Schizosaccharomyces pombe: one gene and its partner. The gene in region 2 interacts genetically with the main gene of each other region. Each region holds a gene or a part of one and is shown on either strand. Other genes may lie near its edges.

The links.
Region 1: of agn2 (region 2) and fus1, changing one enhances a phenotype caused by changing the other (phenotypic enhancement), as found in Schizosaccharomyces pombe (one study listed by BioGRID).

Annotation. Positions count from the first base shown.
Region 1 is NC_003424.3:4,812,569-4,820,052, forward strand, and holds fus1 (formin Fus1), read right to left. Parts: upstream 5,219-7,484; 5' UTR 4,776-5,218; coding exon 657-4,775; 3' UTR 543-656; downstream 1-542. Other genes in the region: CCR4-Not complex subunit Caf16, read left to right, coding at 1-497; eIF2 alpha kinase Hri1, read right to left, coding at 5,691-7,484. UniProt on the Schizosaccharomyces pombe protein: Required for cell fusion. It associates with the pre-zygotic projection tips in conjugating cells.
Region 2 is NC_003423.3:931,983-936,130, forward strand, and holds agn2 (glucan endo-1,3-alpha-glucosidase Agn2), read right to left. Parts: upstream 2,122-4,148; 5' UTR 2,101-2,121; coding exon 799-2,100; 3' UTR 672-798; downstream 1-671. Other genes in the region: squalene synthase Erg9, read right to left, coding at 1-460; tsc13 (enoyl reductase), read right to left, coding at 2,734-3,621.

The DNA of each region.
Region 1 (7,484 bases), on a different chromosome or scaffold from region 2:
CAATTCTTGATATAGATCTTCGTTGGCGAATGCATGCAGTGTCCGATGGTGAAAGACGACGTGTTCAACTATGTATGGGACTTCTGCGTCCATTTGAAGTACTTTTACTTGATGAAGTAACTGTAGATTTGGATGTTCTTGCCCGGGCAGATTTGTTAAATTTTTTGCAAGAGGAAACGGAAGTAAGGAATGCTACTATTGTTTATGCAACACATATATTTGATGGTTTAGCTGAGTGGCCAACTCACTTGGTCCATCTCAGTCTTGGGCGTATCGTGGATTATGGACCAATATCCAAGTTTGGTGCTCTGATGACAAGGTCCTCTACGGGAAATAGCGCCCTTCTAGAGACATGTTTGGAATGGCTCAAAGAAGACAAAAAAAATAGGGGAACTCGAGAAGAGGAAAAGCGTAGTACCTGGGACGACGTTCAAGAATCATTAAAAGTTGGAACTGATGTATTTACTGATTACTTTAAGATTTCCCGAGCAAAATAGATTACTAGAAAAGTTATCCTTTAGATGCTTAATTCTATCTTTAACAAGCATTACAGTCTTACTAGAATTAATAATTATACCTTTTATTAATTATAATTTCATTATAATTTGTTTAAGTCATTTAATTGTCATTAAAAGTCATTAACATTTCAAACATCATTATCTCTTAAGTTCATTGTTATTCTCCAGCTGCTTAAGCATGCATTCAGCTTTAAGGACGACTGTTTGTCTCTTTTTATTTGAGCCTTCTAGAGTTTGTTTATCATTTTCATAATTCATTAGAGTTTCGATTGTTTGTTTCGATGATTCAGTGCAATCGGTTTTGTTGCTTAAAGAATCATCACACAAACCTTTCTGTAGCTGAGATATTAAATTTTCCATTGTTGCTGAAACTTCCTCATTCTTTGAAGAACCACTATTTTCTGCATTATTGCTTTTAACAGATGCTTTTAAAGCTTGTAGTCTTAGAAAAGCAAGTTCTTCTTCCTTCTCCATCTTCTGATTTACAGTGCTAGCCTTTTTGTACTCCAGTATTATTTCGTTTAAATTATTGAAAAACCTAGCACTCGATGTAGGTTCATCTGGATTTTCACCATACATTAAGAGAGTTGTTTTAAGGGTTGTTTTTAGTTCAGTAATATCAGAATTAAGTTCATCCACCATTGATTTTCCTGATGGAATCCATGGAACCATGACTTCACAGATATGGTCATCAGGATGAAGAGCTTTATGATTCGAAAAAATGCCTTCATTGCTAAAGTCCTTTTCAACATTTTTCATCCGTTCACAAATATCATTACAATCCTGCTCCAACTGCTCCAAATTAAATCTGGAAATCTCGGGAATGGCTTTCAAATCCACGAGAAAAGCTTCCAATTGTGGAAAGTGAGTCCGAACTATTTTTTCAATAGTATGAAGAAGTGTTAATCCTGTTTTGTCATTTTTAATCATGGAAGCTCTTAGTAAACTTTCCAATCGATACCCTTTAGCTCGACGGGGTGCATCATTCATAAAATTGCCAATATGAAGGACCAAATTTAAAAAATACTTGAAATGCAAACTAGATTTCAACTCTAAAGAAGCACAATGAAGTTTCCTTATTTGTCTTCTAAAATCCCTAAAGTTGTTGGCCAGAAACGATTTGATTTTTAAAGCTGCCATTCTTTTTTCGTAATAAGTATCAATGTCAACAACAATTAACGTATAAATTTGATCGAAACGAGACAATTCTAAAAGCTTTTCACTTACTTCCATTACCTCTTCGTTTCGAGATGACATATAAGGCTTTAGTTGCTTTTTAAGACCTTCTTGTCGAAAAAACTTTCGGTCATTAAAAAAATCGACTAGTTCCATGATATCATGGTCGCAATGAAAAAATTTTTTGGCAATTTCAATTGGTGTCAAGGAATTGAATCTATGCAAACGAATACTAACCATTTGCTGTAAATCAACTGGCATAAATCCGGTATATTCCTTAACTTTTTTATTGGAAACTGTTACTTCTCTCAATGGATAACAATCTTCGAGTTGCTTAAAAATCCCTTCCGCAGTAAGTTTTAAAGTTAATAAATAAGGATCTGCAACTACAATATTCCATAGAGTTTTTTCGAAAGGAACTTCGAGGCGTTTCCAATGAAGCTGCTTTAGCCGTTTAGAAGGATTGCATAGCTCACCAGGAATTTTGCTTGCATACACTTCAGACTCTGAACCTGAACAGAATTTAAATATGTCATCGATTGAAATATTTTCGGGAATAATTATCGTCTTCCGAAAAATTTGTGAATCATTTTTTTCAAATTTCTGGAGAGAAGACATTGCAGTTGGTAAAGGAGGTGCAGGAGGTGGTAATGGTGCAGGAGGTGGAGCTTTGAATGGATTCCCATCAATAACTTCTTTGATTCTCATATTTTCTATTTTAGAAAACCTCTTGGTATCAGTTATGGAAAATCGGCCATAGTACGACTTTCGATAGTCTAAGGGAAGATCACTAACAACATCAATCCTTTTTGGATTAAAAACCTTGTGTTTTGAAGTTTCCATTTTTTCTGCTAAGTTAGCACTTTTTATTTGTGTTCCTGGCATACTCAGATGAACCTCAAAAGAATGCGTTGAAACAGCGGAAGATGGCTCGGATTTTAAAGTGATTGAGTTTGCTTTAGCTAGATCTAATTTGCAAAGTTTTAATTTTTCATCCTGATTTGGTTGAAAAAGCAGTTTAGGTTTTATCCTTGGTGAAGCAAAAGCACTAACGCTAGAGGTAGTGTTCACGGGTTGAACCCAATCTCTGTTTCCATTTCCATTCACATTGTTTTTAGAAATTAAATACTCTTGGTCACGATCTTGCAGTTTACTACTTGATCGGTTCAATAATCGAAGAATTTTGGTATCTTCGGAAATGTATGAATCGCGCGTACGCGTCAGTAAGTGCTTTAGTTTACTAAAAATTTTTTCGGCTGAAAAGGAAGATTGAGGATCAAACTCTGATGGAAACAACAAACACAAACAATCAAAGATATTTTTCAGATCGGTTTCATACTTCGAACTTTCCACATACTTTCTTTCGGAATTCTCATATCCTTGATTTGTAGTGTTATTAGTATCACCAGTAGCATAAAGTTCTGATTTGGAGACGCTGTATTCATTATCATCAGTATTATCATATGATGCGACAACTTTTTTGCTATTGGTAGTACCGTAGCCAGACGTAACACTTGAGTACCCCGGAGCGTTGTTCCCTTGCTCGTTTCCAATCTTTAATTCCTTATAAAAGCAATCAATATCATTATTTGAATTACCATTCCCTTTATCAGCTTGTAAAGTAAGCACTAAACAATCAAGTAACTTTATAATACGGACGGGGTTGTTGTGCTCTTTCAAAAGTTTTAAAAAATTTTTAATATGCTCTTTAACCATAAATTCGAAATTTGCATCATTAAACATGTTTGTGTTTAAAAGGGATTGATGAGCAGCAGAATTTGGAGTGTGCTTTAAAAAATGTTTCTCATTAGCAGTGTCTAATGATACGAGTTTCACGCATTTCTCGAGTTGTTTTAATACTCCTTCATCATTTATTTTTTTTAGAATGAGTAAAATGCTTTTGAAATTCCCTATTCTCAAGGATTCCTTGAACTGGAGTAAAGCAGTTTTAGATGGGATATTTTCAAGAAATGCATTTATAAGAAGCATTTGTGAAATGATATACTCAATAGTTATTTTATCATGTAAGGCCGCTTCTTCTAGTACTTTCTTTTCTTCAGTAACAACTTTCTCTAAGAGTGTTCTTTTCCATTGAGAAAGCCATAAATCAAAGACGTTCATAGACTCGACTTTCAAATTTGCAAAGTTTTTCATACATTTCATAATTGCGTTGATTCCGTTCGGCTTTTCTGAGTAACAAAGAAAAGTAAGTAATTCGGCAGCTAGTTTCCTTACTAGTAATTTAGTTGACAGGAGGCAGTGAACAACTGAATCGATAGGATACTTATTACTCAGATAGAAATCAGTCCCAATCTTCTGTCCTATAATACACCTCATGCTTTTGAGGATTGCAATTTCTAAAGTTATGTCAGGACTTTTTAGATGTTTCTTCTCATGAATTGCCTGCAATATTTTAGCAAGTACTATGTGTCCACCCATCAAAAGAAAATATCGAACCCAGGTAACTGATTCGGTTCTCAATGCAACCGCCAAAGATTCCACGTACTTGAGCTTCAACGGTGTACAGCTTAACTTTTCAATATAGGAAATGACGGATGCCTTGACATTTAGTTCAGAATCGTTTGATGATATTTTTAAAAATTTATCGTTTCTCGATAAATAGCCAGTGATGAAAGACCATTTGTTTTCTTGAGAGAGTGTAACGTTCGCGTCCCAATGAAACTGCTCACCAGAATCAGATTTTTCTTCGCGTAATCTTTTTAAAACATCATCGAATAATTCATTCACTAAATTCGGGTCATCCGGACATAGAAGCGCTTCGCCTGGTACATATGAATCGGTAAATCCAACAGGTCTTTTTGATAAATTGTTGCAATGAATATCCGGAATAGTGTTTTTTTTGTTTTCAATACTCACAAATAGTGAAGAGTAATCATTTGTAATACGAAGGTCTGTTTTCTTTACGCTTTGGTTTTTTAATCTGCTTCGCGATAATGCTTTTGCTTCGACTTTTTCATATGGGTCAGTGTGTAAATCAATGTTTGTTAGAGACCCAAACGATGAAATTTCTTTAACAATTGGTTTAGAGATTCTGATACCTTTAAAACTAGCCGTCATCATTAACAAGCAATAGCTAAAAAAGGTGAAACCATCAATAATATGTCCTATAATTACAGAAACAAGGTTTTTTGCTCGTAAACAATCCTTTTTGAGTTCAGATATAAGAAGTAAGGTAAAAGACTTACTAGAAAATTACTGAGTATTTAGAACATAACTTTCTTTGTTCGGTTTAACCGACGTAATATGATTCAAAGCAACAATTACATATGCAACGATCCATTTTATTGTACCCGTTAAAGAACAAAGAAATACTAACTGTGTTCGAAAACTATTTAGTTTTCCGATAAGTTCAAGCTCAAACACAAACGTAATTGGAAAGCGACAACTTGAAAGTAGTCCATATCAGAATTAACTGAATAATGCTGGAAATAAGTTTAGTGTCCATTCTAGTTTATATTTATTAATAAATGTTTTTTAAAAGACATTGAGAGGGTGGCGTACATACTGTGTCTTTAGAATAAGGCGCCTAATGAAGTGCTAGTTTACTATCACGCTAAAATTAAACAATCGCTTCTGCTGTTTAATTTATAGCTTGATTGATATTTGTTTTCCATAAATGAAAGACAGTTTGATTAAAAAGGATAAACATTTTGAGTACAAGATCAAGATCAAGAAAACTTAAAAAAATCAATCAGACTGTTGAACTGAAAACTAGCAACGAAAAAATGTACAAGATGAACTTTCAATTTAATATATTAAAATAAGAAAAATCTTTAATGCAGACTACTCTTTCGCACCTAAAAGCTCCAAAAACCATTCCAAGAGCATGGAAGATAACTCACTATAAACAAATCATAACAGTGGATAAACATAAAACGTAGGAAATATAAACATAAAATAACATAAACAACTAAATCTTGTCAAAAGCGAATTGTAAAAACAATTGAAGCAGTCCAAAGTAGTTCGTAACTAATACTAACAGTCGTAATTGGGGTTTAAAACTCGAAGTATGTTTAGTTCTGCTTTCAAATTGTTATTTCGTTTCTCAGCATCTTCCAATAAAGCTTGATATACATGAAGCTCATTGACTACCAAATCATGAAATAGATTGCTAGTCAAAAGTTGAGCAGCAGTTGGGCGCTTATTCGAAGAGCTGAGCATTGACCGGATTAAGCTAGCTTCCTCTGGCATGGAATCCAAGAAATCATGGGGGAAAATGCCCTTTTTTAAATTGGCGATAGCTGATGCCCTTTCCATGCGCGTGTTAAAAGGATACAGTAATTCAAAAAAGAGTATGCCCAATGCATATATGTCAGTAGACGAGTTGTTATTCATTACCGATCGCATGTGTTTTGAGAAAAGTTCAGGAGCTGCATACGTACTTGTACCGACAAAAGAAGATTCAGCTGAGGAGTTGGTCCCCTCTTCCAAATTATCTGACTGAGAAAGAACAAGACCGAAATCGCCTATCTTGGGCACAACACATAAAGTTCTTTGGTTCACTGGTTCGTACGCATTGCTAACCTCAACATTATCTTCATCAGAAAAATTAGGTAGACACACAGAGCAAGGCTCAGAATGTACACCACTAGATAGAAAAATATTTCGAGGTTTCAAATCACGATGGACTAAATGCATAGCATCGTGAAGATACAAAACGCCCTCTAAAATCCTTGCAAACAGTAAAATATAACAGTTACGTAGGCCTTTAGACATTACACCGTGAATATGCTTATTTCGTCTGTTTATGTGTTTCTCGAGTGTTTCTTCGCAAAGAGCCATTTGTATGTACAAACATAAGGGCTGTTGATCAAAGCTGGGAATATTGGAACATTCATCTTCCTCTCTTTCGGATAGAAATGAATCCATAAGTAACATTTCAGAAGCTGACTTCGTTGGCGCCAACTTTCCTAATGTGTCGACTTGTGATGTTGTTGAAGAACAATCATGTGACTCGGCATAATCCTGATCGGCCTCTTTCTTGAAAAGATCAGTCAAGTTGCAAGTCGAATTTTTGGTAGAGTAACAAGGAGTTAAATCATCTGCAACCGAGTCCTCTTGGAATAGTATCTGAACTGATGAAGGATAAGTATGCTGAAGTAACCCAGTATCCATATCAAACATAAAATTATCTATATCTGCTGATTGAGATAATGTCTCATCTGCCGAAGCTAAAGGTTCTTCTTCGATTTGCTTTTCAGATGACGGTAAGAGCTCGACCCAACTAGAAAAGAATCTTATCACATTGGGATGGTTTAATCTTGCCAAGGTCCTAGATTCACGGAATATGTTAGAAGAAGTGGAGAAAGAACGTAACCGAAGTGGAATTTTTTTTAAAGCATATTCAACTCCATCGAATTTATTTCGAGCTTTATACACTGAACCATAACCGCCTTTACCAAGTAACTCAAGTTCTTCAAAATCACTTGCATATCTTGACCTTTGGACTGTGGGAAAGCTATCAAAGTTGCTAAAAGACAAGTTACCGGTTCCATCTTTGTGCTCACAAAAATCAGCAAACGTGGAGGACTCCAAAGTGGTTTGTGGAAAGCAAGATTCCAATGCTTCAACTGGTAAATGATTTAACCTATTAGACAATACGTTTACTGAAGGCTTGACATTCATCACATCGTCTTCGTATCCACCATCACTCAATACGCTCAAGAAGGAAGCAGTTTTCGCCAAAACGCCATCAGGGCTGGAATACCTCGATTTCTTAGAATCCTTAGTAGAGCTCATGGGTAAGGTACTCCGAAAAGCTTTAGATAA
Region 2 (4,148 bases):
AATAAGCCATACCATCACCCATTTCCTTAGTAATGTTCGAAATAACATTACGATAACCCTCTGACAGGTTAAGATATTCTTTTATAACCACGTCGAATTCTACGAGAAGCTGACGATCCTTTTCGTTAGGACCAGATTCATTAAACGTCCACCCTTCGACTTCAATTGTTTTATAAAAATCTCTTAGGATTGGAAGCTTTTTATCCAAAGGCAACGTCATGTCATCCTCTACTGTATCCAGTCCACGAAGGACAAGATAAAAAATCATAACAGCCTCTCTAATACCATTTGGCAATTCTTTAATAACGACTGCAAAGGATCTCGAGGTCATATCGAGTAATTGGTAACAACGGCGGATGTTTTGAGGCACATTTTCGTCTTCTCCATAAGAAGGAAGGTCATTCCAAAGCTTGTACTGACAAAGGCACCGGATTTCTTCAATGCGGTTAGCTAAACTCATTATATAAAACGCAGATTAAATGGTGTAGTTGGAAGGCTAAGTGAAGACGTGCTTGAGATATTGATACCACTTCGTTGGAGTTTGTTACGGTCAGTTGATCAGCAGCCCAAGTGTCAAGCGGTATCGAACTTTCAGGTTTATTTTAGTAGAGTACTCTTTGTGTTTGCACAATTGAAAAAAATAAAATAAAATTAATCTACATCAACTACAATTGTTGACACCAACAAAAATATTTGTATTAAAAAGTTATCAAAGCTACCTGCCACCAAAAAGTAATGTAAACTTCAGTCATACCATCAGGATTGACTAATTTTGATCTCCACTTTTAGTTTATGGAATTACCAGGATATCCTAGTGGTGCAGAAGTTGAAGTTGTATAGCACAACAGAATTGTTACCAAGAATATTTAATGGACCATACCCCTGAGCGATAACTGTCGTTCCATTTAAAATTTGAAAGAGTGGAAGACCTGCAGCAGCTGTGTTGTTAACAATGAAACTAACATTAGCTGACTGAACACCTGCATTGACATTGGTGGTACCTAGTACGGTGCCATTAACGCTAACGCGCAAAGTATACGATGACTTTGCAAAGGATATAACACTAATAACGTCAGAACTGTTCTGGTAGTTATCAGGTCGAGGAATTGAGTCTGACGATGCTGTCGCATTTTTTGAATGCACCCGGTATGTAACGTATAATTGCGATATTCCGCTGAAGTTAGATGGAAGACCTGTAGTATTTTGTTTATACATTTGAATGAAAAGGGGAAGTGAATAAGATAAAGGTGCATGCGTAAACGAATCAACCCACTCATGAGAGTTTGATCCTATGACCGGAAAGTCAGCAGCATAATTAGTGGGACCAATATATGTGCTTTCTCCATAGTCATTCCAAGTTAAAACTTGAACATAGTTTGGTTGGTCTTTAATAAGTTGCATCCACCTGGTAAACCATAAACCTTCTGAAAAGAAAGAATAATTTTTGGAAGTAAAGTGTGTATAAAATATTGGACTGACAGTAGCCATATATTTTTTGTTTGTGGCTTTACTATTTTGTATGTAAACTAAGTCTTCAGCATCGCTAGTAGGGGAACTTGTGTAATAAGGCCAGCAATTCCATTTGCAGAATCCATCGGCAACTGGATATGTCTGATAAATAGTACTAGCATCGAGAGGCCAAGTGGGCATGAAAAAAATATTGATACCAGCAGAAGCCAACGCGTTTTTGAATGCTACCTGCCAACCTTGGTTTACTGAAGACTGACCAAAATTAATATCCTGCCCAAGAAATGTGCCCACGACTACATTGTTATTAATCCGAGCCTGATGGCCACGATTAGCAAAAGTTTGAACATAGGTCACAAGAGTGCTAGCGGGAACCGTTGACATTTCAGACATATCTAGATTGAGGTAAAGCAAAAACTGAAGATTTAATGCATCAGCAGCATTGTACATCAAAGTCAGTTTGCTCATCATCCAACTGTCATTCCCAAAGTTGAGCACAAACCCATCCAACCCCAAAGAAATTGCATTTTGTATGTCATTTTGGAAATCACTCTGAGCATAATTGTACGTAAGACCCATCATAAAATGGGCTACAACGGCTTTATTCGGTAAAGCTGTTGTTAACGACGCCATTAAGTGATATTTAAGTTGGTTAGTGGAAATGCAAGCTGTCCGCTTTCAAAGGTCTAGCCGATGACTGCCGCTATACAAAAAAAAATTAAGTTATGCAGGTAGATTTGATAACTTGTCCCTTTAGACTCTTTAGTCTAATGTCGACAAAGGTTGGTGTAAATGCCAAAGAGTTATAGATGCCTTTATATACTGACTATTAAAATGTAAACAAATGCAAGTTTGCTTATGGAATGACTGGACATAACAATACTGACAAATGAATTAGCGATACACGTAATTATATATATCTATAAATATATATATACACTATATTTCAAATGAATAACTAGTTATTTATCTGATTGTGATAGACTTTAAATTTGACTTTCCAATCATATACAATGGTGGTTCAGATGGCGGTGCTCAACAATTGTCTAGAGCTATTGGAGTTCTTTATGTTTATTTATATCTATGAAATGTATATCTTTAACATTCTTAGGAAAAGAATCTTGTAAAATGTAGAACAATGACTATTGAAAACCGTAGAACCAAATCAAGAACAACAGAAGTAGCATATCCGTGTAGTTAAAAATTGATCAACATCTTTAAACTGATCGATCAAGAGTGAAAATCGATTGGTTCTAAATTTATAGATTATAAAAAGAAGGGAATCATAATTTTACGAGAACGGGGATAATTGGGAAACTCTTTCAGATAGCGAGCATGCTTTTTCTTAGCCCAAACAAACATTTGTGCGGAACCAACAAATAAGAAGATCCAAGAAGCCCAAGATTTCGTTAAGAGTGCGAAAAAAAGCCAGCCAAGAGACTCAAAGAAGTAATTGGGAAATGATACCAAGTTGAATCCATAACCGGTTGGGATAACACGCTTCTTGGAGCCGGCGGGTCGTAAATCGCGTAAAATAATATGAGTTCTAAAATTGGAAAGGACAGCGAACGCCCAGCCAACGATTAAAAACAACAGATGATTAGGCTTTATGTAATCGTTAGCATGCCAAGGACCATATATGAAATAAGCTAAAAAGAGTCCCGAAAGAAGATGATAATGTGCACAATTCTTAAATATGTTTCGTAAGGGCATTGTTGCAAGTGAAAAGCGATGAACAAAGATACTTTCATACTCGCGTTTCATAAAATGCAACATGACAAGCACAAATGCTATTTTTTGATTAAGGCACAAGTTGTAGTCTTTTCTATAAATCCATTTGTAATTTAGAATAAAAAATAGATGAATAACAAGAGGACCCAAATACTCAATCATGAAAACAGTACGCCAACCAATTTGGGGACCCAGGTCTTTAACCCAAATAGTGGCACCCGGGCCGACACCATACTTCCTCAATGTGGTATTGGGTAAAAGAGTAGTTCCATCGGCTGTGCTGAAGCGTAAACGCTCAACTGGTAGCCGTGTTACTGAGGACACTTCGTCCCGGAGTTTATCGATTGACCCATCCAGAGGGAATTCCAAACTCTTAGGTAATTTTCGGATTTTTCTGCCCCTTGAAGATAAAGTTATACTCATTTTGAAAACCTACCTTTAACAAGCTGTGTGCTGTTGTTGTTGGGCTTAAGAAGCTCGTGGGAGTTTAATATCCTGACACCAAGTATGAAACAAGTAATGGCAGAGACAGCCTCGATTAGATGATATCGTATTTTGAGAAGATGCGACCTATGGTGACAGGATTTTATTAAGGAAATATGATCGAATCACAAATGTTTTCTTCTTTTCTTCTGCAAATATAGATTCAGATATACTCTTTCAACCAAGAAACTAAAACTCGCCTACCTTTCAACAAATCATAAGTTGTTTGAATACATATGTACAAAAATATAAGAAATTAACATTGTACGTTGAACAATCTTCGAACTATGCGCTTAGCTTGTTGGAAAGTGTTTTTACATTTAAAGCTTAACCTAGTAACTCACGAAGATTTCACAATACGAGGAAATGCTATTATTACCTATAAAACAAGACGAATAATGCAGTATGCTTAGTTAGCTTAAATCGCTAGCAACAACTTTGTTGTGGACCATGAATAAAAATAACTC